6 linked regions of the Oryctolagus cuniculus genome follow. The protein of the gene in region 1 binds, or shares a complex with, the protein of each later gene. Links are inferred from orthologs where the notes say so. Each region holds a gene or a part of one and is shown in the gene's direction. Other genes may lie near its edges.

Region 1 (4,766 bases):
AAAAATTTCATAGGTTGAAAGAAACAGCTCAAAGGAAACTAAAATTCAGTATCCATCCAAAAGGAAGAAAAAAACAAGCCCTCATTCTGAGATATAATATTCTATAATATGCTATAACTCCTCTGGTTACAATGATCACATGGTGTAACTCATTATTTTGTTTACAAATTTTAAACTATGATTAGTAAGCCTCTCTTTTGTACGTATTTTTTGTTGATCTTGATCTTTCCACAGATAAAGAAGCACATTTATTCAGAAACACGATATTCCTTAATTTATGATGCCTTTTCCTCCATGGTTAGTCTACAAGAGCTATAGACACCTTATTTTGTTCCTGGACTGTGGTCATTTAGCTATTTCTCTATGCTTCTGATCTCAGTGTAATAAGAATGGAATTATCTCCACAGCATCTTACTTGTCTCTAAATTACATAGATTCATTGATTCAAAGTCTTAGAGAGATAAAGGATTTTAGAAACTTCTTGATCTTTCTCTTCCAGTTTATAGAAAACCGATGCCCAGAACAGATTAAATGACTTTCAGTATCATTTAGGTTTCAGGAGTTACAATTATTATTTCATATCATATGCTTACAAAATGATAAAAAATGAAAAATGCATTTTAATTTAACAATTTTCTCACTGGTCATATATCCCATGACTTATTAAACAAATAAAGTTATGTTTCAAGATAAATTTTTTCAAATGAATTAAAGTATGTTACATATTTTGTAATATTTCATGATATATTTGTAAAATATGAACATATTCTTAAAGATTTTTGAGGTATAAATGTCAGCATAATTTTTGGGTTATAGATGTGAACTAAATACTTCAAGTATTTTGAAGTGTGTGCAATTATTTAAAAATTATGAATTCCTTTGAAAATATTATTTTCTCTAACACATATACTTTCATATATATTATGAAAAAACAATATACACAAACACACTTTGGTTTTGCAACACATACATACTCATGTCATGAGCAAAGTAAAACAAAATTTAGGAAACCATAGCATAATGTTTCTTGATCTAATTGTGGAAACCTAATTGAGGAATAGCATTTGATTATCAGAGCTCAAAATCAATGAGTCAGATGGCAGAATTAATTATGATGAATGCAGTTGCTTTTTTTCCATGCTTACTTGTGAAGAAAAATGTGTTAGATAACATTTTCCTAGATGCTTTGTAAACTACAATTCAGCATACATGCGCATGCACCCACACACACACACTCTCCCATGCATCCACACACACACACACTCTCCCATGCACCCACACACACACATACACACACACGCATATCCCTAATTCCTTTGATTCTTTGAGCAGAACATTATATTCAGATTTTCTTCCAATCACCGGCAGCTCTGTTTGGCAAGTTCTAACAACTCAGTCAAGGTGAAAGCCAGCCAGCTTTTGCTAGTAACAATGTATTCATACAGCATATGATCTCTGCCTGTTCAGGCTGCTTCTTGCTCTTGTCTCAGAATAAGAAAGGAGTGCTGCTTTCCTGGGGTATGCTATTTGAGAAAGAAAGTAACCTAACACTAACTGCAGGCGGGGTCAGAGTGATGTAACAGGAAGCTCTGATGTTTCCCTCCTGCTGCTGATCACTTACAATCTGACAACACTTCCAATCTACTCAGAACAGCCCTTCTCTCTCCAGCAGTGTCAACTCCTGCCTCTTAAGGACCATCAAGCTCTGCTAACTGGATCTCACCCTGCCTGCAAGATCACAGTCTAAGGCTTTCTCTCTTTCCCACCTTGCCTGGGGGGTAAATCTCTTCTGTGGAAACTCAGAAAGTCAAACTCCATCCTAAGAACATTTCACCAAGAATTTCCTTAGGAGCTGTGCTGGGTAAGTGCATTATTCAAAATAATTTATTTATTCAAAATAGTACTCTCATACAGTCTTACCGATATTTTTACTATGGACTTTAGCAAATGGCATTGAAATAATGTTTGAAACAGTCTCATTTATTTCACGTTAGAGGAACTATAGCATGTTTCCTGCCCCCAGCACAAAAAAAAATGCATGCAAAAATCCATTACTACTAGAAGATATTGTTTACAGTGGTGTTCTGGAAACTAAAATTAACGATAAATAAAAACATAAAGGCATATTAAAACTTGGAAGTAATATTTCTGAACAAGTACCTTAATCAGAGAACAATGCCTTTTAAAATTAGCTCTACTAGAGCTAAGCTTTAATCTTGACAGCTGGAAAACATTTTTCCCCCAGAAAGGGTTTTTAACTTTCCATATAATCAGTATTCTAAGAAAGGGATGAAAGAATAACTCCTTACCAGTCTTCGGAGTCTCCCTGTTGTAGAACACAATACAAAAGGAAAACAATAATTTTGGATTTATTATATTTGTATTTATTATATTTGCTTCTATTTGCCTTTCATATCTATTTACATATGTATCTCTAACTACTGAACTAGTGGACTTTTCATTGTTTCAGAATCTGTAGCTGCCAGATGTATTTAAATCTTTTGTAGCCCTGAACTGTTTCTACTGTATTTGGATCCTAGGTTGGACCACAAAGAAAAGAAACTTCTAGAGTTAATAAAATGTGGAAATTTTTATATTATTTCTTATTTCCAAAACTCTTTGGCTGAGAGAATGTGTTTCTTCAACTGATCAGTATCCCTTGCAAGCTTTTGGGGGAGGGTGTGATATGGAAACATCTGTGAATAAAGAAATGCCACAGAACTTTCCCAAATGAGTATATTAGACCCTGAAACAGAGGAATTAAAGTATGTATTTAAAAGAATTTTCAGGATAAAACTCACTGAAATGTTGAGATGAAACATCTGTTAATGCTCTTTCCAACAGTACAGACTGTTCTGGACAATTAAAAAAATCTAGTATCTACTTACTAAGTTGTTGGTATAGCGATATCATAACTTTGTTGGTAAAGAAAGCTAGATGTCAGATTCGGGTCAAAATAACCCGAATTATAAGTGACATAACTTTTTACAAATGTATTTTCTTACCTAAATGAAATTATATTCTGAAATGTCCCTTAATGGCAGAGCCCTGTACTTAGTCAATCATCAACAGTAGGCTACAAACTCATCTTGAGTAATTTTTGACTCAATTTTCTCACAAATTTCTGGACATCAAGAAGTCGGTGAATCTTTAAAATACTTTGGCTTATTTCTATTTCTTTCGATCTTTAATTGTGGTACGCAGTTCCTAGACACATGTGCAGACATGGGGAAGTGTGTTTAGAATATGAATTTGTGAATAGCCTTTAGATGATTTGGAAAGGAAATGGAAACAACATATTAAATAATCTAATGCTATGTTAGTGTCTAAATTAAAAAAGAAAACTCCAATTCTTTTCTTTGGAATATTATATAAATATAATATTGTATGAGTGATTTTCAAACTTTTCTAATTTTTATTTAATTGCTAACTTCAAACCCTTAATTTTATTGCATAATTCAGTTAAATATCCATGTCCATGCTGATAGCATGGTTCATAAACTTTATTTTCCAAAAATACTGTTTGAAACACTAGGCAACGAATATGAGGGTCATTAACAAAGACATTATTTGAATAACTAGCTGTAAATTTGAAATAACAATTCATATTATTCTTTGCTTTCTTTAATAATAAGATAAAATCTGATAATTAATGTATGCATTTAATCATAAAGATATTAATTTATTTTCTGGATATTTCTCTGTAGCATTTTAAAGCCAATGCATAGCCTAAGGTCAATTCTAAAGATGTGAAATGAAACATAGAAGTGAAATTATATGAATAATTTGAGCTTAAATATGTTTTACGTCAAATATTCTATCTCTTAAGGGGATAGAGTTTTAGTTAGGTTAGATCTTTTTTTCTAATACACCTTACCAAGTGCCAAAGCATTATTGTATAAGTTAAATATGTAGATATATGTAGATTTTCACTATATATATAAAACAATTCATTCATCCTGAAAGAAACTGAATCAGAGAAAGTGAAATCATTACCATTGGGTCTTTTAATTTTATAAATGATCCTAAATGAATAGCCAAGTGTTGTGCTTACTCACTGGTGATTCCTAGTATATCACGCAGCTTAAATTAAGAGTCCAGTATATTTATGAGAATATTTACCTTCCCTTGCATATATTCTACCATTATATCCATGAATAACAAATAATTCCAGTCAAAAATTCAAGATAATGTTATTACACAAAAATACCTTTTTAGTTTACATTAATTGAAAAATTACTTGATGAACATTAAAAACAAACTGAACTTTAATTAATGGCAGTATTATATACTTCTAACTTAGATCATATTAGGAATCATTATAGCAGTGTTTTTATAAACTTTCTATACTTAGTTAAAGTTTTCTCTTAATTTTAATGATTGCTTTGCATCTTTGTAGAAAAATTAACAAAATAACTTTAAAGTTAAAATATTTGTTCAAAATATTGGTTCACTAACCATGCTTATTACATATTTTATATATGACTTCAAATGTAGCTTAAAATTATTCTGATTTTAGCCCTATAATGATTATTGTTTTCAGACATTATTTGATATCTTCAGATTTATTCCTTAAGCTATCTTTGTTTATAGATTTGAGAGAGAATTTCTTCCCTTAAATATAAACTGTATCATTGCAATGGAGTCAATGAATGACATTGAAAAAGTCAAGTGTGTAGAACATGTTAGCTCTTGATTTGATCAGAATTTCAGAGAACTTTTTGGGCAAATGATATACAACTATTTAAAATATTTCTCTGTGTCTG
Region 2 (4,509 bases), on another chromosome or scaffold:
GACCCCACGCTCAGCTCAATCCTAACCCACAGTGGGGCTGTGGGCTCCTGACCCCGCCCTGCAGAAATGGCTTGTTTTGCTTTCTGCCCCTCCTTGCTGCCTCCTCTTGTCTTATCACCCAGAAGTCCCCTGCTTCCTTCTGGGAAAGGGTGACCCCAGATAGGACAAAAGGGACAGATTTGGTGCCAGCCTGGGAGTGACATCGAGGCTGCACCATTGCAAAAATGACTCTTGCCGGGAGTGCTTTGGGCCACCTCCTCTGTCCCATTGTGTCCCTTGCTAACTTAGCTTTTTTTTTTTTTTTTTTTTTAATTAGACAGGCAGAGTTATAGACAGTGAGAGACAGTTCACCCCCCAAATGGCCACTGAGGCCGGCACTGTGCCAATCCAAAGCCAGGAGCCAGGTGCTTCCTCCTGGTTTCCTGTGCGGGTGCAGGGGCCCAAGCACTTGGGTCATCCTCCACTGCACTCCTGGGCCACAGCAGAAAGCCGGACTAGAAGAGGAGCAGATGGGACTAGAACCTGGCGCCCATATGGGATGCCGGCGCCAGCCCTGCTAACTTAACGTCTTAATTCTAGCTGTAAAAGAAAACTTTAGATTATCTATGGCCATGATCCCCAAAGCCTGGGATCCCGAAATGAGGATTTTAAGAGGGATCATGAAAGAGAAATTGTGGTGGGCAGGAATCAGTAAACTGGGACAACAGCAGCCACTGGTTCCAAGGGTCAGCGTCTGGGAGTAATTAGAAAAGTTTGGTGCCGACAGCTGTGCGTCTGGGAGTGGAACCTCATGGCCAAACCAGCTCCTGAGCTCGTCGGCTGCCCCAGGCTAATGAAGTCCGGTTCCAGGACACAGGGGCGGCTGTGATGTGGCAGCAGTGAGGGCGCCTGGGGTCCAGGCGCAGCCTTGCTGTGGACCAGCAGTGGCCTTAGGCCGGGCACCAAGGACACACATCTGTCCACACCACAGCGGAGGAAGGGACTGCCCCCATTTCTCACAGGAGACCACAGAGCGAAATGTGTCCTTCGAGGCCATATAGCTGGGGAGTAGGAAGACAGAATAAGGACCCCAGAGCCTCTGGATTCAAGTCCTGGGTTCTTTCCCTGTACGATGGTGATAAGAATGGACACGCTTGGTACATGACATCACCCACGGGAAGTTCTGAACGTCTCCCCTCTTCCCTACGACCTGGGTCTGGAGGGCTGCGGGCACCTTCTTTCTGGGGAGGTACTCGCCCCCGCCCCCACCGTCAGATTTGGGGATCTAGGACCCAGCAAATGCTTCCAAGGAAGGCACCAGACTTGGATTTCCCCTCTCGCGTGCACTCCCCTGGCCCTGTCTCCTCCCCGGTCTGGCGGACGGGCTGACATCAGCGGGTGGGAGTTTCCAGGGCAGAGGAACTCTGAGCTGCAGGGCTTAGCTCCAGGTGCCCCTTCCCCCACGGCCCACAGCAGCCCCAGTCCCAGTCCCAAGGCGGCTCCGCGAGGCCCTTGCAGCTCCCAGACCCTCCCTCTTCCCAGACGACCCCACCGCCTGCCCCCGAAGAGAGCCGGAGACCAGGGCCCAGGAGCCCCTGCCAGTAGACCCCGGCGAGTCCCCGGCGCCTCGCAGCTGAGCCCGAGCACCGGATCTCGGGCGTGGGGTTACGAGGGGAGCTGTCCAGCCCCGCGGGGTGAGCGGGAGGGAGCGTGGGCCAACACGGGCGAGGAGGAGGGAGCCGCGGGCTCCCGGCGCGGGTGCGGCAGCGACTCCCCCTGCAGCCCGCGGGCCCCGGGCGTCGCCTCCGCCCCCCACGTGGCCGCAGCCGTCCCAGCCCCTCCGAGGAAGCGGCGCGGCTTCCTGCGGCTCGGGCCGGGGATATAGGCGCCCCCGCCCGGGCCCGGCTCAACGCCGCCGCCCCTCCTCGCCTCGCCGCGCGATGGCCTCGCTCCGCGCGGAGCGCGCAGCTGGCGGCCCGCGACTCCCTGCGACCCGCGCCGGGCGGCCCGCGGCGCTCCGCCTCCTCCTCTTGCTGCTGGGCGGTGAGCGCGGCGCCCCGGGGCCCCGCGGGAGGCGCGGAAGGCTAGGGAGGGGAGGGGGCTGGACGGCCGAGGCGGACGCGAGCTCTGCGGGGTGAGCAGTGCGTCCTGCGGACGGTCCCCGGCCCCACCTCGGGGCGGCCACAGCACGAACTCTGCTCCTTGCTCGGGGAAAGCCGGGGTGAGGGCAGGGGCCCGCGGACACAGTCCTGGAGGGCTGGGCTGGTGAGGGGGGTGTGCGTACGCGCGCCTGGGCCTGGTTGTGCGTGGGCAGGAGCTCGTGCCACCCCTCCTTTCCAGGCGCGGAGGCATCCCGCGGGGGCATCCCTCGGATGCACAGACGGCTCCTCTTTCTCTTAAACCGGCGCCTGGATCTCCAGGGGTCGCAGCCTACATGCCCCTCCCCCGCAGGCGCCACTGCCTGCTTCACCACCTCTCCACCCTCCTCTCCCGCTTCTTCCCACAGCTGTCCTTAAACCCCAGGAGTCCCTGGCCCAGACTCTTCCCACCCCGGGCAGCTTGGAGCCAGAAGGTGGGTGCCCAGGGGCTGTGGGAGGGAGGCCTAGGGCCGGGAGGAGAGCCAGGTCAGTGCCTTTCCCATAGGCACCCCCCAGCCCCCTGCTGCCCCACTCTGCTGCCGGCTGGGCCCCCGTCACAGGTGGGTGGGAAGAGCCCAGGAAAAGGTGCACGTGGAGATTGTCAGGCTTCGATGAGAAGTGCTGCCCAGATGGAAGGCACCAGATTGCTCAGGCAGGCCGCTCTGCGAGGGGAACTGGCAGAGGGGTTCCCACGTCTGAAAACAAGGGTCGTGGGTTCCACCTAGACAGTCCCTGGGCCAGAGGGTGTGTGGGGGTCAGAGGGGTGGCAGGCCATGGTCACTGAGCAGCGTCTGTCCCCACAGGGAGGACGGGGGAGGAGAACTACGAGACAAACGTCCTACTTTGTTGGAACGACTATAAGGTTTACATGGACTCTATCGAAAAGGATTGGTGCGATTGGGCCGTGATTAGCAGGTAGGGGCCCTCCTGGAGGGCGGCCCAGGCGCGCGGGGGTGGGGGGTTGGACTTTGCTGCTGGGTGGGCCTGCCTCTCCTTCACGCAAGCCCTCCCTGCCCCCAGGCCTTACAGCGAGCTGCGAGACTGCTTGGAGCAGAACGCCGAGGAGTTCGGCCTGGGCTTCCCCAACCCCTGGGCAGAGAGGATCATCTTCGAGACTCACCAGATCCACTTCGCCAACTGCTCCCTGGTGCAGCCCACCTTCTCCGACCCCCCGGAGGACGTGCTGTTGGCCATGATCATAGCTCCCATCTGCCTCATCCCCTTCCTCGTCACGCTGGTGGTGTGGAGGAGTAAAGACAGCGAGGCCCAGGGCTAGGGTGGCACAGCCTTCCCCATGCCCTGCCAGCTCTCGCCCTCTCCCCCCCTCCCCACCCTCTTCCCTCGGTCCCAGCCCCTGCAGGTCCCCGGTAGATGGAGATGGAAGTCGGGTGGGGCCATGGCACAAGTTCTGAATCTAAATAAAAACTTCTTTTGGGTACAATGTCCCCCTTCCCATCCTAGCGGGGCCTGTTCGCTTCCCGGAGCCTCTGCCACCCCCACAGCAGGCCGCAGAACTGGGCGAGTCGGAGGGCTTCATGGCTCTGTTCACCCCCCCATCCCGCCCCCACCCTGGATGAACGCCCTGCCCCATACTCCTTCCTCCCAGGGCAAGGCCTTTCCTGCCTCGCTCCAAACCCAGCACCAGGAAACAAGCAGGAAAAGACTCCCTTCCGGTCTGCACGGCAGCGGGGGGCGATGCAGGAGGAGGGGCAAGGGAGAAATCTGCCATGACTCCTGCAGCCAGGGAGGCAGCCCCCCACCCCGGGCGGTCCTGACTCGTCCCTGCATGCCTGTTTATTCTGAAGGCTTGGGAAGAGGAACCCGGACCTAAGCACCAGGAATCTATCGCTGAGACCTCAGAACGGAGGGCAGAGGCAGTGGGGACGTCCTCGGCAGGGTCCACCCCTTCCCACTAGGTCCCTGGCCCTCATCCTACATTGTCCTGGATGGGGTGTGGCCTACATGGTGGCCACACACTGCCCCCTGGTGTCCACTAAAGCCAAGACTCAAAAGATGTGTGTGACCTGGAAGCAGCTCAGGGCTGAGGCCGCCGGGCCCTGGGTCAGAGAACTATTTGTTCTCTCCATAGCATCCTCTGGTTCTCCCCCACCCTGTGTGTGGGCCTCTGAGACATCCCAATCAACCCTCTGACCTCTCTGCAACTCCCGGCTTCTGCACATGCACACCAGGTTCTCGGGGGAACCTTCACCTCCAGCCCTCCCTGGGACGCACCTGTCAGGCCACCAACAGCATCTGCAACAGCTTCATTCTCCATGGAGAATTGCTCCTTAGTATCGCTGATTCTTTGTGGCATCCCCCGTCTCTGGGATGTGCCTCCTTGCTGAGATATGTGTCCTTGAGTACGTGCGTGTCCATTTCCCGGGGCATGTCT
Region 3 (4,304 bases), on another chromosome or scaffold:
AATCTCTCAGTTTCTGTGTCTCTTCCTCTCTCTCTGTAACTTTGCCTTTGGAATAAAATCGATAAATCTTAGGAAAAAAAAAAAAAAAAAGCCGAGCAGCAGAGCTTCCCCACAGGGCTTGGCCAGACTGCGGCTGGGAGCTCCATCTGGGTTTCCCGCGTGGGGGGCAGGGCCCTACGTTCTTGGCGATTGTCTGCCTCCCAGGCGTGCTAGCAGGGAGCTGGTCAGGAGCAGGATATGAGACTTGACCTGGCAGCTGGCTGTGGGACGTGGGCCCACACAGCGTCTGACCCCCGCACCACGACGGGCACCCACTGAGGCAGCCATTTGTGTTGACTCTGAAGGTGCTGTCTTAAACTCTAGTGTGGTTTGGACTTTTTTTTTTTTTTTTTTTTTGACAGGCAGAGTTAGACAGTGAGAGAGAGAGAGAGAGACAGAGAGAAAGGTCTTCCTTCCGTTGGTTCACCCCCTAAATGGCTGCTGTGGCCGGCGCTGCGCCGATCCGAAGCCGGGACCCAGGTGCTTCCTCCTGGTTTCCCATGCGGGTGCAGGGCCCAAACACTTGGGCAACCTCCACTGCCTTCCCGGGCCACAGCAGAGAGCTGGACTGGAAGAGGAGCAACTGGGACAGAATCTGGCGCCCCGACCGGGACTAGAACCCGGGGTGCCGGCGCCGCAGGTGGAGGATTAGCCAAGTGAGCCACAGCGCCGGCCAATAGTTTCTTTATATTATTAATTCACAGATATCCCCACTGGCTTCATAAAATAAAAATTTACAGTAGGGAAGTTTGCCCCTAAAATCGGATCTCCTGGGAACACCCAGCTGCAGTGTCAGCTCACAGCAGCATGGAGACCTGTGTCTTACTGGACATCGCCCTGAGTGCCTCTGAGGGGCTGCCCACACTCCTGTTGTGAGCCTTTAAAGCTGTGTTCTCATTTTACTGCATCTAGTGTACAGAGGTCTTCAGGAAATTCATAGAATATATGTACTATAAAATCACGCCTGGGTTTCAAAATATTGTGCCCAAATTAGCTTATCTTTCAGTTCCATTTTTCTGTTGATTTTTGAAGTTCTCTTTTACATATTGCTTTTTTATTTTTATTTTTTAAGATTTATTTATTTATGTGAAAGGCAGGGTTACAAGAGGCAGAGAGAGAGAGAGAGAGGTCTTCTATCCGCTGATTCACTCCCCAAATGGCTCCAACGGCCGAAGCTGGGCTGATGCAAAGCCAGGAGCCAGGAGCTTCTTCCAGGTCTCCCACATGGGTGCAGGGGCCCAGCAGAGAGCTGGATCGGGAGTGGAACAGCCGAACAGCCAGAACTCAAACCCACGTCTACGTGGGATCTGACACTGCAGGTGGTGGCTTTACCTGCTACACCATAGCGCCAGCTCCCTATATCTCCCTATTTATAAAAATATATGTTCATTTAAGATTCCACACTTGTCTAGTTCCTTGTTCACTTGATGTTAGTGATGGCGTGTCCTTCCGCAGAGTGTACCTGCATTTCGTCGTTTCGTAGATAAGAAAGCAGATAGAGCCAGGAAGAAGTCAGAAGGTTTCATCTGAATCTGCAGTCTGATCAGACGCCTTGCTCTTTTCTGTGAAATTTAAATCCAACAAAGTAATTATTGTCCCGAAGAGATTTTTGGGCTGGTCATTAGGTCCTTGCTGGACCGCTCTCCCTGGGCGCCAGCCTCCCGTCCTCCCTGGGTCAGCTGTGCAGGCGCTGAGCCAGCGTGGTTGCTCAGAAGCGCCGAAGGCCAGGGCAGCCCCGCGCCCAGGGGCCCTGCCCTGGTGCCGTCCCCGTGCCGGGTTCCACGGTCGCTGTGTGTGAGTGGCCGAGTGCGGTGGATGGTGGGTGTTGGGGGGGGGGTGCTTTCCTTCCACAGTGACGCTGTGAGGCCCCAGGTGGCCCCTGCCTGGACACCGCTCACCTCTCTTGTGTTGCTTCCTAGGATGCTAGGAAAGCATGTGCAGATGCAACGCTCTCTCAGGTAAGAGCCGGTGTGAGCCTGGGCCCTCCGCAGTGAGCTCTGCCCGTGCAGCTGCCAGACCACTGCGGGGCACTGTCTTGCGGAGCCGTCCAGACGTGGGAGGAGACAGGGGTTCTGTGTTCGCGTCGTCTCTTCAGCCCGCGTAGTGCTCCCTGCCAGGGCAGAAGACTGCTGTCTCAGTCAGGCGGCGTGTCGCTGCCTTCGTGGCCAGTCGGTCCAAGAACTGGACTCCGCAGGCCGGCCTGACAGCTCCCCAGACACTTGAACGGCAGCTCCATGGCTCCTTGTGTGCCCAAAAGGATCAAAAGCCGGCGTTCAAGCGGGTGTTCAGTAGGATACGCACACCGAAACCCGTGGGTGTCTGAAGCCTCGTGTACACAGACCCTACAGAGGGCATCGCTGCGGACTAATAATGGAATATCATAAAAACAACACTGCAGGAAATCTGTGCATATGATCTGTCTCAAAAAATTAATCTTCCTGTACTCACACTTGTGACAACAACGCCTGTGCGAGGAGATGCAGTGAGGCAGACGACACGGGGCTGGGACGCAGCTTGGGTGACCACAGTGGGCACAGCGCGGTCCCACGGGCCGAGGGCTGACCACACCCCAGACAGGACCAGCAGGCCGGAGTGGATGTCATCCTCCTGCTCAGACGGCTCACAACTTAAACTTAGGAATTGTCCGTATCTGAAATGTCCTATGTAATAGTTTCAGACTGCGATTGACCACAGGAAACTGAGCCATGCATAGCGAAACCAGTTAAAGGAGGATGGCTGTACAGTGTTCATATCGCCGCTCACACAGCCAAGGGAGGAGACCATCCAGCTCTCCATAAGTGGATGAGCGTACAAACGTGTGGTGGTGTGTTTGCACGGTGGGATATTACTCAGCCGTGAAAGGGAATGCAGCCACGTGTAGCTCTGTGTGTATGAAATACCCAGAATGGTTAAGTTAAAGACAGGAGATTGGTGGCTGCAGGGATCGTGGGGGCGAGAGGAGGAGGTGGCCGCTGGGTGGGTGGGGAGGCGAGCAGTGGTGAGGGCTGCACAGCATGCCCTGAGTGGGCACTGTAACAGAGTTTTAAAAAGTTAAAGAATCGGACAGAATAGTGAAAGAAAAGTTAGATTCACCCTCTGCAGGTGACTTGGTTCATGAGGCGATCCAGACACTGAAGGGGATGCGCTGTAAGAAGGAATTCTTGCAGCGTAGAATCACAGCTGTCAGTTCTCGGGCGCACTGTGGACTGTCCATTTTTTAAGACTCATTGTTGGGTGTGCTTTGCCCATTTGCCAACCTGGAGGCATTGCTGTCGGTGTCTGCCCTGTGGGGTGGGTGCTGGCGTGCAGACACCGATGCTGAGTGTTGTCCAGGCCCACACGTGGCCTGAGGTAGGAGCAGAGCACTAGCTGCTGGAGGCTGTGCCCGTGGTGGCCCCGGGCCCTGAGACAGATGGGCGGAGCTGGAGGCTGTGCCCGTGGTGGCCCCGGGCCCTGAGACAGAGGCGGAGCCGGGCTGCCGTGTGTGTGCACGCCAGGGGGACAGGTGTGTCCTCACGCCCCGTGGAAACGGCAGCCCTGTTCAGAGTCCCGAGGGCCCTGGTGCCCCTGAAGAGCTGGAGGATGGCTGGGCCCTGCTGGGTGGGTGAGGAGGAGGGCTCTGGGAAGATCGTGTGGTCACAGATGTTAACCTCAGGAACCTTCGTGTTTAAGATCACAAACAACATCGACCCGGTGGGGAGGATCCAGATGCGCACCAGGAGAACGCTGAGGGGGCACCTGGCGAAGATTTACGCCATGCACTGGGGCACGGACTCCAGGTAGGCACAGGCCACGGCGGCAGCCCGTGCCGGCTACGTCACCGAGGCTCTCTTGTCTGGGAAGGTCGCCCGGACTCATTTGCTGTACTTTGTAGCGAGCAACACGAGGAGGAGGAGTCAGATGAGCAGGCCAGGCGTGGCCTGTGCGCGGGTCTGCGCTCACCTGGCCCACTCCACTCTGCTGTTTCCTCTCCGCTCCAGGCTGGCTTGTGTGGCTCAGGTTCTCCTCCCTGGAAAACCCCACCTTCCCTCCGCCCCGCTGTGCTCTGCCGTGGCCTTGGGAAGTGGCCTTCCTCTGTCCCTGTGTTCTGCACTGCGCGGCCTGTTCTGGTGGCTGCTGGCCCTCCTGTGATTTCAGCGCCTGCTCCGGGCTGCGGGAGGCCCAGAGAGAGAGCCTGAGAGCAGCAGCCTGTGGGGTGGTGCTGTGCCTGGGTTTCTGTGGTTGGGGCCCCCAGCAGGTGCATGGGTGTGTGTGTTTGCTGCGGC
Region 4 (4,833 bases), on another chromosome or scaffold:
AGCCAGTCCTGGCCGGGATCGGTGCGAAGAGCCCGCCCTACAGGGGACAAAGTGAAGGGAAGAGACAAGACAGGAGAGGGGAGCGTGAAAAACAGCAGTGAGTCCGGGCAGGCTTCCGGAAGGGGTAGACTCGCCGTAGTACCTGCGGTCTTCGGTGCGCACCGACCAGATGCTGCCCGGTTCGCCGCGCGGCACCCCTCTGCCCTTCTGCGTCCCAAGCCCTCTCAAAGTCAGAGAGTGGCGTCTGCACTTCGCCCTCCGCTGCAAGTCAGGGCCGCTCAGGTGACTCCCTCGGGGAAGAGTCCTCAGAATAAATAACCTCGGGGCAGTCACTTCTCATTTCGGTGCAAATGCCCAGGGTCCCTTTCCCAAGAAAAAGGCGGCCAAGCCAGCAGCGCACCGTGGCCGAGTTCCCGGAGCCCAGCGCCCAGCAGCTTGGCCCTGGGTCTCAGAAGCGTGCGGCAGAGCAGGTACGTCCCTGAGAGCCCACGTTCTCGACCGGGACGCTAGGCAGCAACGTGACCCGCCCGCGTTCGCGCGGCAGCTAGCTAGGCGGCGAGGACAAGCCGCCAGTCTGGCCAGGGGTCTTTCCCGCTTGTCGGTGGGCTTCGGGACAATTGCAACGCGAACGCCAGACACCTGCGTGCAAGGCGCTGAACTTTTGCCTTCCATTCTGCCTCTAGAAGAGAAAGACAGCGAGTCAAGAAGCTGTGGCGGAAGCGCAAGGCAGGGGGACAAACGTGTTTGGGCCGATTCATCGTGATCAGGCATACCCTCGGGCGGGGGCTGGGACGCTTCTCCCCGCCTCGACGGGATGGTGACCCCAGCCTAGAAGAATCCACGCCGCGCCCCAATTTGCCCTACTCGCTGGCGGGGCCGGGGTAGGGCTCCTCCGCTTCCCACCTTTCCCGTGACTTTGGGCAAGGGACTTATTTCATCTGAATTTCAGTCGTCCACGGGGGCAAATGGGGAACGCGCTGTCACCCTCCTCCCCTCGCTCAGGTTTCACGTGGAGATCAAAGGAGAGAGGGCCCTGTCTGTTCCTAAACCATAAACGAGGCATTAGCGCGCGCCGTGGCAGCCGAGCCTCACGTTTGCAATGGGCGAATCGAAGCGGCAGGGCACTCTCAGGTTATCACCTTATAAGGCATAATTGGATGACACGCGGGGAAACATCGGCTATTCCTGTATTTCCAAAGAGGCACGTCAATTCTGAAACTTCACATATTTACCCCCTCCCCTCCAAATCCAATTATCGATTCAGCCGCTGCGAGCTTTGCGTGTATTGTGAAATCTTAACTAGCTTATCCCAAACCCCCGAGGTCTGGTCGTCTCTTGGGAGCCCAGGAGCCCTGGCTCCTCGCTGCTCGGCTCTGCTCTGCTCCTGGACCCTGCCCCCCGCGACTCCGCGGGAGCCTGGGGTCGGGGCCAGGTCAGACGCTGAGCCGGCAGGGGGCGCGGTGCGCCTGAGACTGCAGCTCCCCAGTCCCAGCCATCCGCTCCGGATCCCCCACTAGTTCTTTCAGCTCCCTGCTGGGAGACCCCCCTCTTCCAAGGCTGCATAGATCCCGGGATAAGGACCCCAAGGGGCTGTGCTTACCCTCTTTTCCGCCGGACTTGCCATGTGAACCCTGCGCCCAGCGAGTTAGGGCTATGGCAGTTTCTGCACCAACCTGGAGCTCTCCTCTTGAGTCTCTGAGCTCGAGGGACTCGCGCTCTCCCCCCACCAACCCCACACCTACAGGCAAAGAACGCGCGCGCCCGAGAGCAGAAGCGCGCGCGCCGGAGGAACAAGAGGGAGGGCTCGAGGGCAGTCCAGGCCCCGCCCCCTGAGCGCTTATAAAAGCACGGGAACCCGAGCTGGCTACTCAGTGGTTTCTTGGTGACACTAGGCGGAACAGCTCGAGCCTGGCCACTTCTGGCTTCTCACCGCAGTCGCGCTTGGACTTGGGGGTTTTGCCGCTGCTAGAGGGACGCCTCGGACTTGCTGCTCTCAGAACTTGTCACATCACCCTTTCAGCAGGTAGGTGCCGCACGATCAGCGGGGTACAGCCGGCCCTTGCTGAGGCCCGAAGCTGGGAGCGCTGGGAACAATCCACTTGGGGGAGGGGAGAGGGGTCCTTGGCGGGGAACACCTCAGATCCCGGGCGCAGCTCGTAGACACAGTAGGAGCGCCAAAGACCAGCTCCCCTCCGTTCCGTCCGCTAAGTTCCACGAAGTTGAGCAGGGAACCTCTGGGAACCTGGCGCTGTGCAACGGCCTCCCCTGCAGAGCCTGTCACCCGCCCCCAAGGGTGCAGACGCCTCTGGCGGCCTCTCTGCGCCCCGAGGAGATAAGCGCCCGAACCAGGCAGAGCGCGCGCTGAGCTCGCCCGCGCCAGGGTCCCCTCCCGCCCTGCGCGCCCCGCCCGGGCCTTGCAGATGGCCTGGGTGCTCACGTTCCACTCCTCTTCTGTCTTTTGCCAGGGTCTGCGCATCGTCGTCGGGATGAAGTTGGTCTCTGTCGCCCTGATGTTCCTAGGCTCACTGGCCTTCCTAGGCTCGGACGCCGCACGGCTCGACGTGGCGTCGGAGTTCCGAAAGAAGTGAGTCCCTGGCAGCGCCTTGCCCTGTCCTGGTACCTGGCAGACGAGGGAAATGGACCGCTGGTCCCCAGGGGTTAGAAGTGAATGGGCCGGGCAGGGCCGGGCGGTCGCCTGGACGCACGCGAATCTGGTCTGCTTCTGTCTTCCAGGTGGAGTAAGTGGGCTCTAAGTCGTGGGAAGAGGGAGCTGCGGGACTCCAGCAGCTATCCCAGCGCGCTCGCTTCAGTGAAGGCAGGGCCTGCCCAGACCCTCATTCGGCCGCAGGACGTGAGAAGCGCCTCGCGCAGCCCGCAGGCCAGGTAACCGCCGCACGCAGCTGGAGACTGGGGTGCAAGCGGGGCGGGGGGGGGCGCTCTCTCTCCCCACCATTCCGGTCCTGGGCATTGGCAGGGCTGGATTGCAGCTCAGAGCGCCGGGGAACATTCTCTCTGCCTCTGATCTTAGAATGGCTCCCGTCCGCGGTGTCTGGGGCCACAGCCCTGCTGGATGGGGTCTCAAGTTGCCTCCCTTTCGCTCCCCAGCAGTGCGGACGCCGCCCGCATCCGAGTCAAGCGTTACCGCCAAAGCATGAAAAATTTCCAAGGCTCCCGCAGCTTCGGCTGCCGCTTCGGGACGTGCACGGTGCAGAACCTGGCGCACCAGATCTACCAGTTCACCGACAAGGACAAGGACGACACGGCCCCCCGGAACAAGATCAGCCCTCAAGGCTACGGCCGCCGGCGCCGGCGCTCCCTGCCCGAGGCCGGCCGGGATCGGACTCTGGTGTCTTCCGAGCCACAGGCGCGCTGGGCTCCGAGCTCCCGGGAGCACCGAGTGCTCGCCACCCTCCTTAGGATTTAGGCGCTCGTGGCAGCAGCGAGCGGTTGGGCGCGCATCCCGCTGGCGCCTCCCGGGGCCGAGGGCTTCGCGAGCCGGATGGGGACCGGACTGAGACAGCCCTGCACAGACCCCACGTCCGGGAGGCAGCGCCGGGCAGCCAGCCCTGTCTTTGCAGCAGCTCTTCCTCCTCCTTCCCCTCCTCCTCCTCCTCCGGGAAGCGCCGCCTTGGCCCTGATCAGGCCTGGGCGCCCCAAGGGGGCAGAGGAATCCGAGGGAGTGTTTGCCAGGTTCACAGAGAGGAGAAACTGAGAATTACACGCTTGGACTCCAAGGGCAAGGGTCTGAGCCACTGCCTGGCCCGCCCCCAGACCGACTTCTCACGGGTGGCACCCCACGGGGCGCGAGCCTCCTATTACTTGAACTTTACAAAACCTAGAGAGGAAAAGTGCAATGCGCTATGTATATACAGAGGTAATTATCAATATTTAAGTCTGTTGCTGTCGAGATTTTTTTGTAACTTCAAATATAGAGATATTTTTGTACGTTATATATTGTATTAAGGGCATTTTAAAGCAATTGTATTGTCCCCCTCCCCTTTATTTTAAGGTGTGAATGTCTCAGTGAGATGCAAGACGGTTGTTGGAGTGTGTGTGTGTGTGTGTGAGAGAGAGAGAGAGAGAGAGAGAGAGAGAGAGACTGATTACCTCTTGTGGAAGAAGGAAACACCATGTCTCAGTATAATCTATTTACATAAAATGGGTGATATGCAAACAGCAAACCAATAAACTGTCTCGATGCTGATTCATTCTCGCTCACGCGTCGAGCGAGGGCGGCTGCCTCTCGCAGTGGTGCGCCCGGGAGCCTCGGGGTCCCGACTCCAGGCTTGGGGAGGCGCGGCGGGGGGCCGACCTGGCATCTCTCCATGCCGGGTGTGCTGTCGCGGGCTCTGTTCTCCACGTGGGGAGCCCAGAGCGCGGGTCCTGGGTGTGAGTCGGGGCTCCGAGGAGACGCGGGAGGTCACTGCCTCGCGTGGCGGCCAGGGCGGGCCGGGTAGGGTGAGCCCCACCGCGAGGCGCGCCCGGACTCCTCGGGTTGCGCAATGGCTTCAGCAGACTTGCGGCAAATCCAGGTTTACCGAACCCTGCGCGTATCGCGCATCGGAAAGTTGCGGCGGTCTCCGAAGCCTTGCGAGCGCGGAGCTCGCTCAGCGGCCGCGCGCGTGCAAGTGAGAAGCCGCCCCGCGGCTGGAGGTTCGGTAGCCTGCGGACTGCGCGCCCCCAGGCACGGGGACGGCAGGGCGGCGGGCTCATCTGCGGGGTGGCGGCGCCCCCTGCCGGCCGCCGCGGGGGGGCCCCGGAGCCCGGCGGCTGTACGTGCGGTTTAATAAGTTCTCCTACGTGGGAGTCGGCACACAGCCTTAATGAAAGAGG
Region 5 (4,923 bases), about 50 Mb from region 1:
TGTGTGTAGCTACCACGTGCACAGTCAGCACTGTGTGTGTGTAGCCACCATGTGCACAGTGAGACCTGTGTGTGTAGCCACCACGTGCACAGTGAGACACTGTGTGTGTAGCTACCATGTGCACAGTGAGACGCTGTGTGTAGCTACCATGCGCACAGTGAGACGCTGGGCTGTGTGTAGCCACCACGTGCACAGTCAGCACTGTGTGTGTAGCCACCACGTGCACAGTGAGACACTGTGTGTAGCCACCACGTGTGTGTGTAGCCACCATGTGCACAGTCAGCACTGTGTGTGTAGCCACCATGTGCACAGTCAGCACTGTGTGTGTAGCCACCACGTGCACAGTCAGCACTGTGTGTGTAGCCACCACGTGCACAGTCAGCACTGTGTGTGTAGCCACGTGTACAGTGAACACTGTGTAGCTACCACGTGCACAGCCAGCACTGGGCCGTTCTACAGCGGAGCCACTGTTGGCCCTGATGCGCTGTAGGTGGGGGCCCCCGGAGGAATGGATCCCCATGCTTCCAGCTGCCAACCAGAAATAACACACAAATTGAACAGAGTCTCACCGGGTGGGGTCTTCAACTCGGGGTAAACAGTCTGCTCCGCCTTGCCCCTCGGAGCAGCGCAGACCCTCGGTAGTACTGGCTACCTCGTCCCGGGCCGGGCACAGACGTGAAAGGACAGGAAGTGGCGCAGGGCTCTGGGTCACCTCAGCATTCTCCAGAGAGCGTGAGCTTCCAGGCTCCAGCGTGAACCTGACAAGGGAGCCTGGCCCTGTGAGGAGCCCGTGCCTGTCCAGGGGCCCCCACGCCTCCTGCAGTTACCCTTGGAGAAGTTCCTGGGAGGAATCCAGGTGCAGCCGCAGGGCGAGCAGACGGGGCCCAGGGGAGGGGCAGCTGGGTGTGGACGGGGTCTGAGCCAGGACGAGGTCGCCTCCACTCACATCACCTAGCGTAACTCAGGTGGACCTGTCCTCGGGCCACACGGGCCGTGTTCACGCCCTCTGGCCATGGCGTGGTCTCTGGACCCCAGGCCTGTGCTGTAGCCTGTGGTCTCTTCAGGGATTCCCCCCCCCCCAGTCCTCAAGACCAGGGGGTGCAGCTTGTCGCGAACGTGCCTTTGTGTCCTTACTCCACGGCGGAGGGCAGTGCCCCCGTGCTGGACGGTCCCTGCGGCACAGCAGTCCCCCACTGGATGCACCAGCTGAGGATGTGGGCCTACCTGGTGGGATGTGCCCCAGGGCTCAGGCGGAGGGGCTGCTCAGGTCGGGAACGGGTGCCCTCCACCACCGTCGCCCCCAGGAGACTTGGGGCCCCCGGGCACACGCAGGCGTGCCCACCCCCAGGGAGTGCCCGCCCTGCCAACCTGGGCTCAGAGGGGACCGAGGGCCGCCTCGCTGTGCGCTGCTCTGAGCGCCCGGCAGGTGGCAGCAGCCCCTCGGCGGAGGAGCGGGGTCGGTCAGCCATCCCCTGCCCCGCGCCGGCTGACCCACGGAGACGGCGGGCATTGCACTGGAAGCTGTGACATTAACCAGTGGCCGCGAAGGAACGCTAACTCGCTTTCACAGGGTGTTGGGGAAGGAGCCACCGCTAAGCCAGCGGTGAATGCGGGGTTGAGGTCTCCCGCACTGCCCGCCTCTCAGCCCTGCTTGCAAAGGGCTGCGCGGGTGACCGCCACCCGGGTGGGTTCACGCTCGCGCCGGCCACCACCAAGCGAGGCGTTACCTCTCTACTGGAGGCCCTGGTCCCTGCGTCACCCTCAGCGGCAGGTGCAACCCCGGCCCCCCCAGCCCCTTGAAGAGCGCTCCCTGTTCCCTAGGGCCCAGGGCCTCTGCGAGGGCGCGCCCCTCCGCACCCCGCAGCTCCGGCTTCTTGTGCGCGGGGCTCGGCCAGCGCCAAGGCTGCTGCTGCCCCCGGGCGCCCCGTGCCCGCACCTGGAGGGGCAGGGAGCGCCTGACTGCGGGCAAGAGTGACCAGACCCTGCGAGGGGAGGGCGGCGAGGTGCCCGGAGGGTTCTGGAAGCGCACTGCCCCCCGCCCCGCCACCCAGGTTTCCCGATTGTTAATTTGGCGAACTTTTCCGGAAGGCGGCAGCGTTTTCCTGGTTCTGGGCGACTTCCACCCGGCAGGTGCTGCCCGCTCCGGCACCCACCCCGAGTCGGGCCGCGCGGCCGCCGCTCCCGCCCCGCGCTCCCGCCCCCGGCGGCGTCTTCCCGGGGCGGGCGCCGCGGCGGGCTCAGGACTCGGCGGGGCGCGCCGCGGGCGGACTCGGCTCGGCTCGCTGCGCGCCATGGCCCCGGACCTGCGTGGCCTCCCGCAGCGCGGCCTCTGGCTGCTTTTGGGTGAGTAGGGGCCGGGGTCGCGGGCCGGCCCGGCTCCCCCGCGTCGAGGGCGGAGGAGGGGGTCGCACGCCGCGAGCACGCCGGCTCAGGCTCGCGAACGCCGGCCGCCGCCTCGCCACGCGGGGCCCGCGGCGGAGGTCCCCCAAGCCGGGCCGTCCCGGGGTGCGGGGCAAGGAGACGGGCGGGGCAGGCGGCTGGGCAGGGGTCTGCGCCCTCCCGGCGGGGGTGGGGGTGGGGTGGAGGAGGCTGAAGGGCAGCTGCCACTTGGCCCCGCACGCTGGGGAGCGCCCCTGCTCCCCACCCCCACCCTCCGCGCAGGCTCCCTGGGGCTCGGGTGTGAGCACCTTGCAGACTGAGTGAGGGCCACGGCTGTTTGGAAATTAGTAAAAACCGGTCATCTGACTGTCACATGCCGCTGTTTCTGATTTGCTAAGCGGTGTCCCCGCTGAAGCCAGGCCAGCCGCCTGTCCTCTGGAGGCAGAGCCACGACTTGGTGTTCGCTCCCTGACTCGGGCGGAGACCCCCGGTGCGGTGGGGTGGCCGGGCTTGGAGAGGCTGCGGGAACCTGCGGGGATGGGGCGAGGGATCGTCTTCCCTCCGCCGGGTGTCCTGATGCACACATGCAGAGCTCCCAGCTGTTCGAGCTGGTGGATGTGTCCCCTTCCGTGTGTTCCTCTTACGGACTGGACGGCACCGGCTACTCCGTCCAGGGCTCCCTCCCCAGAGCTGTGATGTTGCTGTGGGCGCCTGCTGTGCCGCTGGAGCCTGGCGTGGGAGGAGGGGGCCTGCCCGCCCTGCTCTAGCTGAGCCCCTGGGGGCAGGAGAGGCTGCCCAGGCCAGGAGGAGCCGCCGGCCGTAACCAAAGCCTGCCCCGGCTTCCGTGTGGCCATCTCAACGCCGGCCTTGGCACTTGAGCGCTTCTGCCGAAGTCACAGGAGAAGGAGATCTTGTAGTGATCCCGTCCTCCGTCGGCCTAGACGTGGAGTCGGCCGTTTTAGTGCCCTCGGAAGCCAGCGTAGCTCTGTTAGCAAGGCAGAGAATGAGTTGTGTGGTTTTTACTTAAACGCGTAAATGTCCTTTGCTGGTGTCCGGAGGCGGTGCCCTCTATGGCTGGTACAAAGAAAGCCCTGTGTTGGGATCACACAGACTTTCCCTGGTGACCAGAGAGCGGTTGCGCTCTCCTGCCAGGCCAGAGCCGTCATCGTCACGTCCTGAGTGGCCTGGCCAGTGTCACGTCTCAGAAGAACACACGGAGCTTTGTGAGGTCACCCGTGAACAGATGCACTTGGAACGCGGCTGCACACGCACGCTGTCACCCTCCGGTGCCATAGCACGGCCACATGTCCTTGGAGGTGACCTTGGCTGCCTGGGATGGCGACCCGGCATGGGCCGTGTTGGTCCCCAGCCTTAAGGATTTTATAGCCAAGCTGTTCCTGTCCAGTCTGCTGCCCTTCTGCGTGTCCTCTGTGCCGGGCCCCTCCGTGCTCTGAGAGTCCTGTACACGCGTGTGTTCCTGGAAGGCTGATGGGCTCGTGTGTGGGGAAGACTGTGTGTGACCACCCTGAAGCCATTCCAGGCGGGCTGGGGTCACTCCATCCCGGCCTCGCGTGCGGAGCCTCCCGGACCCTCGGGCGGGGGCCGGGGTTTGTGTGTTTGTGGGTTTTTGGAACGGTTGGGACATTGAAACACACGATCGTGCGACCATGAGGAGAGCTGGAAGTTCCGGGACACCCAGGAGAGGCGGTACGCGACGCCTCCCGTGTCCGGCTGCTCTGCGTCCCGACGCGGTCGCGACCCTGGCGTCCGACCCTGGCGCTTTCTCATTTGCCAGTCAGGTTTGTTTGCCCCTGTGTGTGCAGCTGCAGGGAGAAACTCCCAGAGGTTTGTCTTCTTCCGTGGCTCACGCCAACCAGCATGCGTGTTGTGAGCCTGGACCTGGGGGCGCGCCCCAGTCCCCCGTGTGCACGGTCAGTGGCACCGGTGACACCAGGAGCCAGCGCTCTGGGTGGAATCCTGGCTGTGAGCAGATGGTTGGCCGGGCCTGCTGACTCCCTTCCCCGGAGGGAATGCACCGGTTTCGGGCAGATGCCGGCCAGGGCCACATAGGGCTGGTGCTGGGCCCAGCGCGTGCTGGTGGTCGGCCCTCCCTGCAGTGGCCGCACTGAACACTTCTCTGCTGGGACTCCAGGGAAGTGGTCTCTTCTCCACCGGGCCTGAGGTCTGAGCCCCAGGGGGCCGCCGTTCCTGACCCAGCAACGCTGATGGAGCCGCCCCTACAGGGAGCCCATGGGGGGCGCGTCTCCAATCCCGGGAACCCAGGCTTTAGGGCCTCCTGTCCACCCGGTGCAGGCATGCAAGGCTTGGAGCCCCGGCAAGGGCAGGCGCGGGGGCAGTGGGGACCTGCGGAGGGGGGGGGGGACGCTCTCCAGAAAGCTCAGGGAGGCCCTGCAGAGGAAGGGCCGTGAGAGGGCAGGGGGAGACCAGGCAGAGCCAGGGCAGGGGAGACCAGACAGAGCCAGGCAGGGGGAGACCAGGAGAGCTCGTGCAGGGGGAGACAGGAGAGCCGGGGCAGGGGGAGAC
Region 6 (4,863 bases), on another chromosome or scaffold:
CCGTGTCAGCTTGTCCCTCCCAGGAATGCAGGAGGCAGGCAGCCGGCAGATGACCAGCTCCAGCCAGCTCCGGGGCTCCCTTGCCGCCAGTGCGGCGGGCAGCCCGGGAGTCACTCACTCCTCCCCGCCACGCAGGGTGAGCGGCACCTCAGGCTCCCGCCTGCTACCTTGTCCAGCTCAAAGGCTACACGTGCCAGAGGTGACCGCCCCCACGCAGCTCCCGCCACAAACACAAAGCATCCCGGAGTCCACGCATGTCTCCGCTCACCCACCGTCACTACCGCCACCCCCCAGCCCGGCTTCTGCTCCCGCCCCTGCCCCAGCCAAGGTCCCCACACCGGGGCAGCCCTCGGCTGGCCTCACCTCCCTGGACCCATGCACGGCTCTGCACCAGGCGGCGGGTGGGGCCTCCCCACTGCCCACCACACGTGCCTGGGAGCAGACGGCGCTCCCCTGCGGGCCAGCACAGCACTGACAGCGAGCCTGCGGGCACGGAGGACGGGTGACCGGCACGCCGTGGTCCTCCCCTGCGAGAACTCTGAAGACAGATGCTCCCGACTGACGGTGCCAGCAGCCGCGCGCTCGCATAGACGGCAGCAGAGAGGAGGAGCGGGCACTGAGCTGAGTGTGCAGGGGAGGGACACACCAAGAAATCACGCCGGGTCCAGCAGGTGGGGGTGGACACACGGACAGTGCAAACGGAGGCTCAGCAGAGCGGCCAGTCCTGCGCTGGGTGTGACGGCAGCAGCTGGACTGGCAGGAGGGCTCAGCCTCAGCTCCAGGTCCAGCCCCAGCCTGATGTCAGAGCCGAGCTGGACGACACCCTGCCCCCGCGCGCCGGCCTGGAGCGGGCGCTCACCCTCTCCGCGCCTCACTCCGCGCCCGCGACAGAGGAGGGCACCATCAGGCAACCTGGGTGGGCTGCTGGGTGGAGGAAGCGCACATCATGCACACAAAGGGCTGTGCAGGGCCTGGCACTCCAAGGACGCCGGCCAATGCTGATGTCATCGTCAGGCTCCGTCTCCTCCTGCCCCCTGGGCTGAGGGCTCTCGGACACAGGTGCTGAGCGCAGACACGGACCCCCCACACGGGCCCCCACCCGGGGCTTGGCTGACACGGGCCGCACAGCAGGCCCTTCGCCAGCAAAGTGCTCGCCCGCTCCCGGCACTTCCTCCTGCAACCCTCGCAGCCCCAGCTCGAACACACCTCTCCGCGAGGAGGCTCCCGAACCCCATCCCCTCGCCGGCACCCCACCAAGCCTGCTCGAGGCTTCAGACCCAGCATCGGGGCAGAGGAGGCGCCGGCAGAGAACCACCCATGCCCCCGGCAGCCGGCCAAGGCGCACGGCCCATCCCACCCCACGCGGAGTCCGGGAGGCTGAGCCGCCCCGGGGCCCTCCCACTTCCCCGGTCGCCGCCGGAGCACTCGCCCCCATCACGCGGTCCCTGCCCACCGCCCCGGCACAGCCGCAGGTGCCCCGGCCGGCCTCGCGCGGGCCCAGCGGCCGCAGCACCTCGCCGACGGCCCGGGGCCAGGGCTCCCAGGCGCCGGCCCTCAGCTCCAGCTCCCAGCCGGCCTCCGGCCCCCGGGCCCGGGCCCCCGGCCCTCAGCCGCGGCACTTACCGCGCGGGTGCGGCCCGAACGCCACCAGCACGAAGTAGTCCGCGAGCCGCGCCATGGCGAGGGGCGCGGGGCGGACCCAGGGGCGCGGGCGGGCTCCGCGGCTCGGGGACTCGAGGGCAGCGCGCTCATGGCCCGGCCCCGGCTCTGGACCGCGCACCCCGGATACCCCGGGCCCGCTCCGCGGCGGCAGCGGTGGCCAGGACTTCCGCCGCCATCTTCCCAGCCAGCCGGCCCGCCCGGCCACGCCGTGCGCCTGCGCACCCTCGGCCCGCCCCCCCCAGTGGGCGGGGCGCGAGACAACAAACGCCATTGGTCGACCATTCGTGGGGGCGGATCCCGGAAGCGATGGCCCGCCCATCGTCTCCCGCCCCGGGGCCTCGGTGCAGACCCTCCGACCGGTCAGCGGCCCTGGTTGAGCCCCCCGTTGGGAGGCGCTTCAGGCTGAGGGAAGGCGGGAGGGACGTGGGCCCGGCCGGAGGACGGAGGAGGCCGAGGCCGTCACCTCAGGGGGGCACCCAAGCCCCACCTTTGGGGGCTCTGGGTTCGAGAAAGGCTGGGCCTGCCCTTGGGGGTCCCCGCGGAGGCGAGGGAGATCCAAACACCCGGCCCAGGGACACCCGCCGCCCCCAAGTGCTGGGGCTGGTCAGGCCCTCCCCAGCAGCGGCCCAGCGATGGTCAAGGGAGACATGGCCCTCAAGGGCAGGGTGCCTGCAAGGAGCTGGCTCTGCGGAAGCTGATGGCAGCCATGTCCCATCTGCCCCAGGAGTGGCCAGAGAGAATGAGAGGCAAGCTCAGAGACAGCTGAGGGGGGGCCCAGCCCATCTCCGCCCTGCTGGTGGACGGTGGCACAGCCACAGCCGCCCTCAGCCACTCCCGGGTTGACCAAGGCTGAGGAACCCTTTTTGTCTAAGCCGGCTTGAGTTGATTTCCAGCACATGTACCCAGAAAGGAGCCCCTCCACCCCTATTAGCACTCCGGGGTTTGTGTGTGGGCAGCAGCAGCCCTGGACACATCCTGCCAGGGGCTACCCCACACCCGCTTCCCTGCCCTTAGGCCTCCCACCAGGCCCATGTCAATGCCCAGGTCTGTGTCCCCAGCCTCAGGGGCCTGTCCCTTCCAGGCTGCCCTAACCCTGCAAGGCTCCTGCCGCTGAGTCTCGGGTCCTGCCCGTGGCACCCTCAGCAGTGCCTGCGTCCACCCAAGCCGCCTCTCCCCCGCTGACAGAGAGAGGTCGTCCATCCACTGTTCCATCCACTGATCCACTCTCCAGATGGCTGCAACAGCCAGAGCCGAGCTGATCCGAAGCTGGGAACTTCCTCTGGGTCTCCCACGCAGATTTAGGGCCCCAAGTACTTGGGCCATCTTCCACCGCTTTCCCAGAGCAGAAGCAGAGAGCTGGATCGGAAGAGGAGCAGCTGGGACTAGAACTGGCGCCCACAGGGGATGCCAGCGCCACAGACGGAGGCTCAGCCCACTGCAGGGTCACAGCGCCGGCCCCTCTGGCCCCCATCTGGCCAAACTCCAGGGCCATCCACACCCCTCACCTGCCGCTCACCATACAGGGTGAGTGGCCTGTGGTGACACCCACTGCCCAGCCTGCTGCTGTCTGGGCAGCTGTCTCCAGTCCGCAGCTCTTCCAGCTGCTGCCCCTTCCTCACATAGAAACAGAAGCCACCAGGTGGGAGACCCCCAGCCGGCATCCCCCCCACCACGTACCCACAGAGCCTCTGCCTGCTGCTGGCCGGCCATGCCCTCACCACACCCTCTCTTCCTCCTTCTGGCTCCAGCTTCATCTCGGCTCTCAAAACCTCCCTTGGCGGTCGCCACGCTCGCTGTCTGCTGCACTCCCACTTCTCTAAAGCTCTCCCCACTGCCGTCAGCACACCCAGCCCTCCCGCAGCCCGGGCCTGGCTGGCCTGCCTTTCACCCGTCTCCGCCGTGGACACTGCTCCAGGGCAGCCGCCCCATCGCGCCCCAGGGGCAGCTCCTCAACTGAGGAAGAACGGAGGCCCAGGGCCTCCCCTTGAAGAGTGTGGGGACACTTCTGTGGGCTCGCCAGTGGGAGAGGCAGCCAGGCTGATGCCTGAGGGTCAGAGGACCCCCCCAGCGCCGTCAACCGTGGGCTCTGGGCAATGGGACCACGGTCTGATGGAGGTAGTGATTGTTCAGTCGTCCCAGGGTCTGAAAGAAAGAAGGCAGTGGGCTTCTGGCCCGCCCACCCCCAGACCTACCACCACCTGTCCCAGATTAAAACGTCCCTACTGGCAAGGTGGACAAACCATGTTTGTGTCTGGAACGATGGTGCTTCCACAGTGTGGAAGATGACACTGCAGGACGAGTGCCCTCCTCGGCCCTCTGCCCACACCTCCCTACACCACCTTCTTCCCTCTGCCTGCTCTGTGGACGGTGTCCCTCCACCTGCCAGGGCCCGACCACCTCGAAATCCTGCCCTGTCTTCAGCCCTCGCTCACAGCACCGAAGGCTGAGCCGACACCTCCGTGTGGGTGACCCACGGGTGGCTCAGAAGGCAGAAAGGCTGTGCCGGGAGCCAGGAGCCCGTGTGTGCAGCACCCTGTCCCCCATGTCCCCATGGGCCCCGCTCCTGCTGGACTCCCCAGGCCTGTGCTCCTGACACAAACACACGACCCCTCTCAGGCCTGGCTGGTAGGAATGGACAAGCAGGTGACTGCTGGAGCCCCCCACCCTTCTCAGAGGTAGGCCAGGCTCAACACTCATGAACTTAATCATCCAGCAAATGTTTACTGAGCGCCCATGGTGTGCTCAGCAGGAGGGACAGAGTGGCCACAGGGGGTATGAGGAGGGGCAGGTAATCGGAGAAACCTCTGGTAGGAGGCGGATGAGATCATGGCTGCCTCTCAGATGGACAAAGAAGCCGAGAGCTGCCGAGGCCTTCATCTGTGGACAGTGGTGGGCACCAGGTTTGTGGAGAACAGGTTAGCACCGTTGCTGTCCAGTGGAGACCGCGCAGGGTTCTCGTGGCCACTGATGAAGGATTGGTTAAATCAATCACAGGACACCAACTATGGAGCTGGGCCGGGTCTACTTTCCATTCGACGTGCTTGTGTGTGAGGTACAGGGAAGCAGAACCTGGCCCCACAGTGGGCACTGTGCAGGGATCTTGCCTGGCACCTAGGTTTGAGTTTCTTACAAAACGAGGTTCTAGGAAAAAGGCCGCCTGGGAACGGCCTCCCTGGGACCCGACAGACCCTCCGCCATCTG

Evidence for each region.
Region 2: the proteins of CALCRL (region 1) and RAMP2 are in contact, whole or in part, in a crystal structure (PDB 3AQF), measured with the Homo sapiens proteins. The link is inferred for Oryctolagus cuniculus from reciprocal best matches to the Homo sapiens genes CALCRL and RAMP2. Residues at the interface, in NP_001258680.1 of Homo sapiens: Arg38, Asn39, Ile41, Met42, Thr43, Gln45, Tyr46, Glu47, Tyr49, Gln50, Lys51, Ile52, Met53, Gln54, Trp69, Asp70, Gly71, Arg119; in NP_005845.2 of Homo sapiens: Trp86, Ile89, Tyr93, Ser94, Arg97, Leu109, Gly110, Pro112, Glu117, Ile120, Phe121, His124, Gln125, Phe128, Ala129, Cys131, Ser132, Leu133, Val134.
Region 3: the proteins of CALCRL (region 1) and GNB1 are in contact, whole or in part, in a cryo-EM structure (PDB 6UVA), measured with the Homo sapiens proteins. The link is inferred for Oryctolagus cuniculus from reciprocal best matches to the Homo sapiens genes CALCRL and GNB1. Residues at the interface, in NP_001258680.1 of Homo sapiens: Lys167, Ser168, Ile394, Arg397, Asn398, Gln401; in NP_001269468.1 of Homo sapiens: Arg52, Phe292, Ala309, His311, Asp312.
Region 4: the proteins of CALCRL (region 1) and ADM are in contact, whole or in part, in a cryo-EM structure (PDB 6UUS), measured with the Homo sapiens proteins. The link is inferred for Oryctolagus cuniculus from reciprocal best matches to the Homo sapiens genes CALCRL and ADM. Residues at the interface, in NP_001258680.1 of Homo sapiens: Val36, Thr37, Asp70, Gly71, Trp72, Asp90, Tyr91, Phe92, Gln93, Asp94, Phe95, Asp96, Pro97, His114, Ser117, Thr120, Trp121, Thr122, Tyr124, Thr125, Asn128, Val135, Ala138, Leu139, Leu141, Phe142, Thr145, Thr191, Leu195, Ala199; in NP_001115.1 of Homo sapiens: Cys110, Arg111, Phe112, Gly113, Thr114, Cys115, Thr116, Val117, Gln118, Lys119, Leu120, Ala121, His122, Gln123, Ile124, Tyr125, Gln126, Phe127, Thr128, Asp129, Lys130, Asp131, Lys132, Asp133, Asn134, Ala136, Pro137, Lys140, Ser142, Pro143.
Region 5: the proteins of CALCRL (region 1) and RAMP1 are in contact, whole or in part, in a cryo-EM structure (PDB 6E3Y), measured with the Homo sapiens proteins. The link is inferred for Oryctolagus cuniculus from reciprocal best matches to the Homo sapiens genes CALCRL and RAMP1. Residues at the interface, in NP_001258680.1 of Homo sapiens: Asn39, Met42, Thr43, Gln45, Tyr46, Glu47, Tyr49, Gln50, Lys51, Ile52, Met53, Gln54, Thr68, Trp69, Asp70, Gly71, Arg113, Arg119, Thr120, Phe228, Leu231, Ile235, Thr239, Val243, Ala244, Gln250, Trp254, Tyr255, Leu258, Phe262; in NP_005846.1 of Homo sapiens: Trp59, Ile63, Tyr66, Arg67, Ala70, Phe83, Trp84, Pro85, Asp90, Phe93, Leu94, His97, Gly98, Phe101, Arg102, Cys104, Pro105, Ile106, Ser107, Gly108, Arg109, Ala110, Val111, Arg112, Asp113, Pro114, Ile118, Leu119, Phe122, Ile123.
Region 6: the proteins of CALCRL (region 1) and ADM2 are in contact, whole or in part, in a cryo-EM structure (PDB 6UVA), measured with the Homo sapiens proteins. The link is inferred for Oryctolagus cuniculus from reciprocal best matches to the Homo sapiens genes CALCRL and ADM2. Residues at the interface, in NP_001258680.1 of Homo sapiens: Val36, Thr37, Lys40, Asp70, Gly71, Trp72, Asp90, Tyr91, Phe92, Gln93, Asp94, Phe95, Asp96, Pro97, Ser98, His114, Ala116, Ser117, Thr120, Trp121, Thr122, Tyr124, Thr125, Asn128, Thr131, Lys134, Val135, Ala138, Leu139, Leu141; in NP_001240774.1 of Homo sapiens: Leu106, Arg107, Val108, Gly109, Cys110, Val111, Leu112, Gly113, Thr114, Cys115, Gln116, Val117, Gln118, Asn119, Leu120, Ser121, His122, Arg123, Leu124, Trp125, Gln126, Leu127, Met128, Gly129, Pro130, Ala131, Gly132, Arg133, Gln134, Asp135.

The regions. Positions count from the first base shown.
Region 1 is NC_091434.1:52,916,580-52,921,345, forward strand, and holds the start of CALCRL (calcitonin gene-related peptide type 1 receptor), read left to right. Parts: upstream 1-1,433; 5' UTR 1,434-1,861; intron 1,862-4,766. UniProt on the Homo sapiens protein: G protein-coupled receptor which specificity is determined by its interaction with receptor-activity-modifying proteins (RAMPs). Together with RAMP1, form the receptor complex for calcitonin-gene-related peptides CALCA/CGRP1 and CALCB/CGRP2.
Region 2 is NC_091448.1:20,145,104-20,149,612, reverse strand, and holds RAMP2 (receptor activity-modifying protein 2), read left to right. Parts: upstream 1-1,814; 5' UTR 1,815-1,919; coding exon 1,920-2,022; intron 2,023-2,485; coding exon 2,486-2,551; intron 2,552-2,920; coding exon 2,921-3,032; intron 3,033-3,137; coding exon 3,138-3,393; 3' UTR 3,394-3,555; downstream 3,556-4,509. UniProt on the Homo sapiens protein: Accessory protein that interacts with and modulates the function of G-protein coupled receptors including calcitonin gene-related peptide type 1 receptor (CALCRL) and calcitonin receptor (CALCR). Required for the transport of CALCRL to the plasma membrane.
Region 3 is NC_091438.1:163,949,604-163,953,907, forward strand, and holds part of GNB1 (guanine nucleotide-binding protein G(I)/G(S)/G(T) subunit beta-1), read left to right. Parts: intron 1-1,958; coding exon 1,959-1,997; intron 1,998-3,711; coding exon 3,712-3,818; intron 3,819-4,304. UniProt on the Homo sapiens protein: Guanine nucleotide-binding proteins (G proteins) are involved as a modulator or transducer in various transmembrane signaling systems.
Region 4 is NC_091432.1:55,858,576-55,863,408, reverse strand, and holds ADM (pro-adrenomedullin), read left to right. Parts: upstream 1-1,859; 5' UTR 1,860-2,023; intron 2,024-2,465; 5' UTR 2,466-2,486; coding exon 2,487-2,584; intron 2,585-2,733; coding exon 2,734-2,883; intron 2,884-3,105; coding exon 3,106-3,424; 3' UTR 3,425-4,189; downstream 4,190-4,833. UniProt on the Homo sapiens protein: Adrenomedullin/ADM and proadrenomedullin N-20 terminal peptide/PAMP are peptide hormones that act as potent hypotensive and vasodilatator agents. Numerous actions have been reported most related to the physiologic control of fluid and electrolyte homeostasis.
Region 5 is NC_091434.1:2,452,794-2,457,716, reverse strand, and holds the start of RAMP1 (receptor activity-modifying protein 1), read left to right. Parts: upstream 1-1,862; 5' UTR 1,863-2,291; coding exon 2,292-2,343; intron 2,344-4,923. UniProt on the Homo sapiens protein: Accessory protein that interacts with and modulates the function of G-protein coupled receptors including calcitonin gene-related peptide type 1 receptor (CALCRL) and calcitonin receptor (CALCR). Required for the transport of CALCRL to the plasma membrane.
Region 6 is NC_091442.1:123,407,507-123,412,369, forward strand, and holds the start of ADM2 (protein ADM2), read left to right. Parts: upstream 1-1,883; 5' UTR 1,884-4,863. Other genes in the region: SBF1 (myotubularin-related protein 5), read right to left, coding at 1,624-1,678. UniProt on the Homo sapiens protein: Intermedin/ADM2 is a peptide hormone that plays a role as physiological regulator of gastrointestinal and cardiovascular bioactivities mediated by the CALCRL-RAMPs receptor complexes.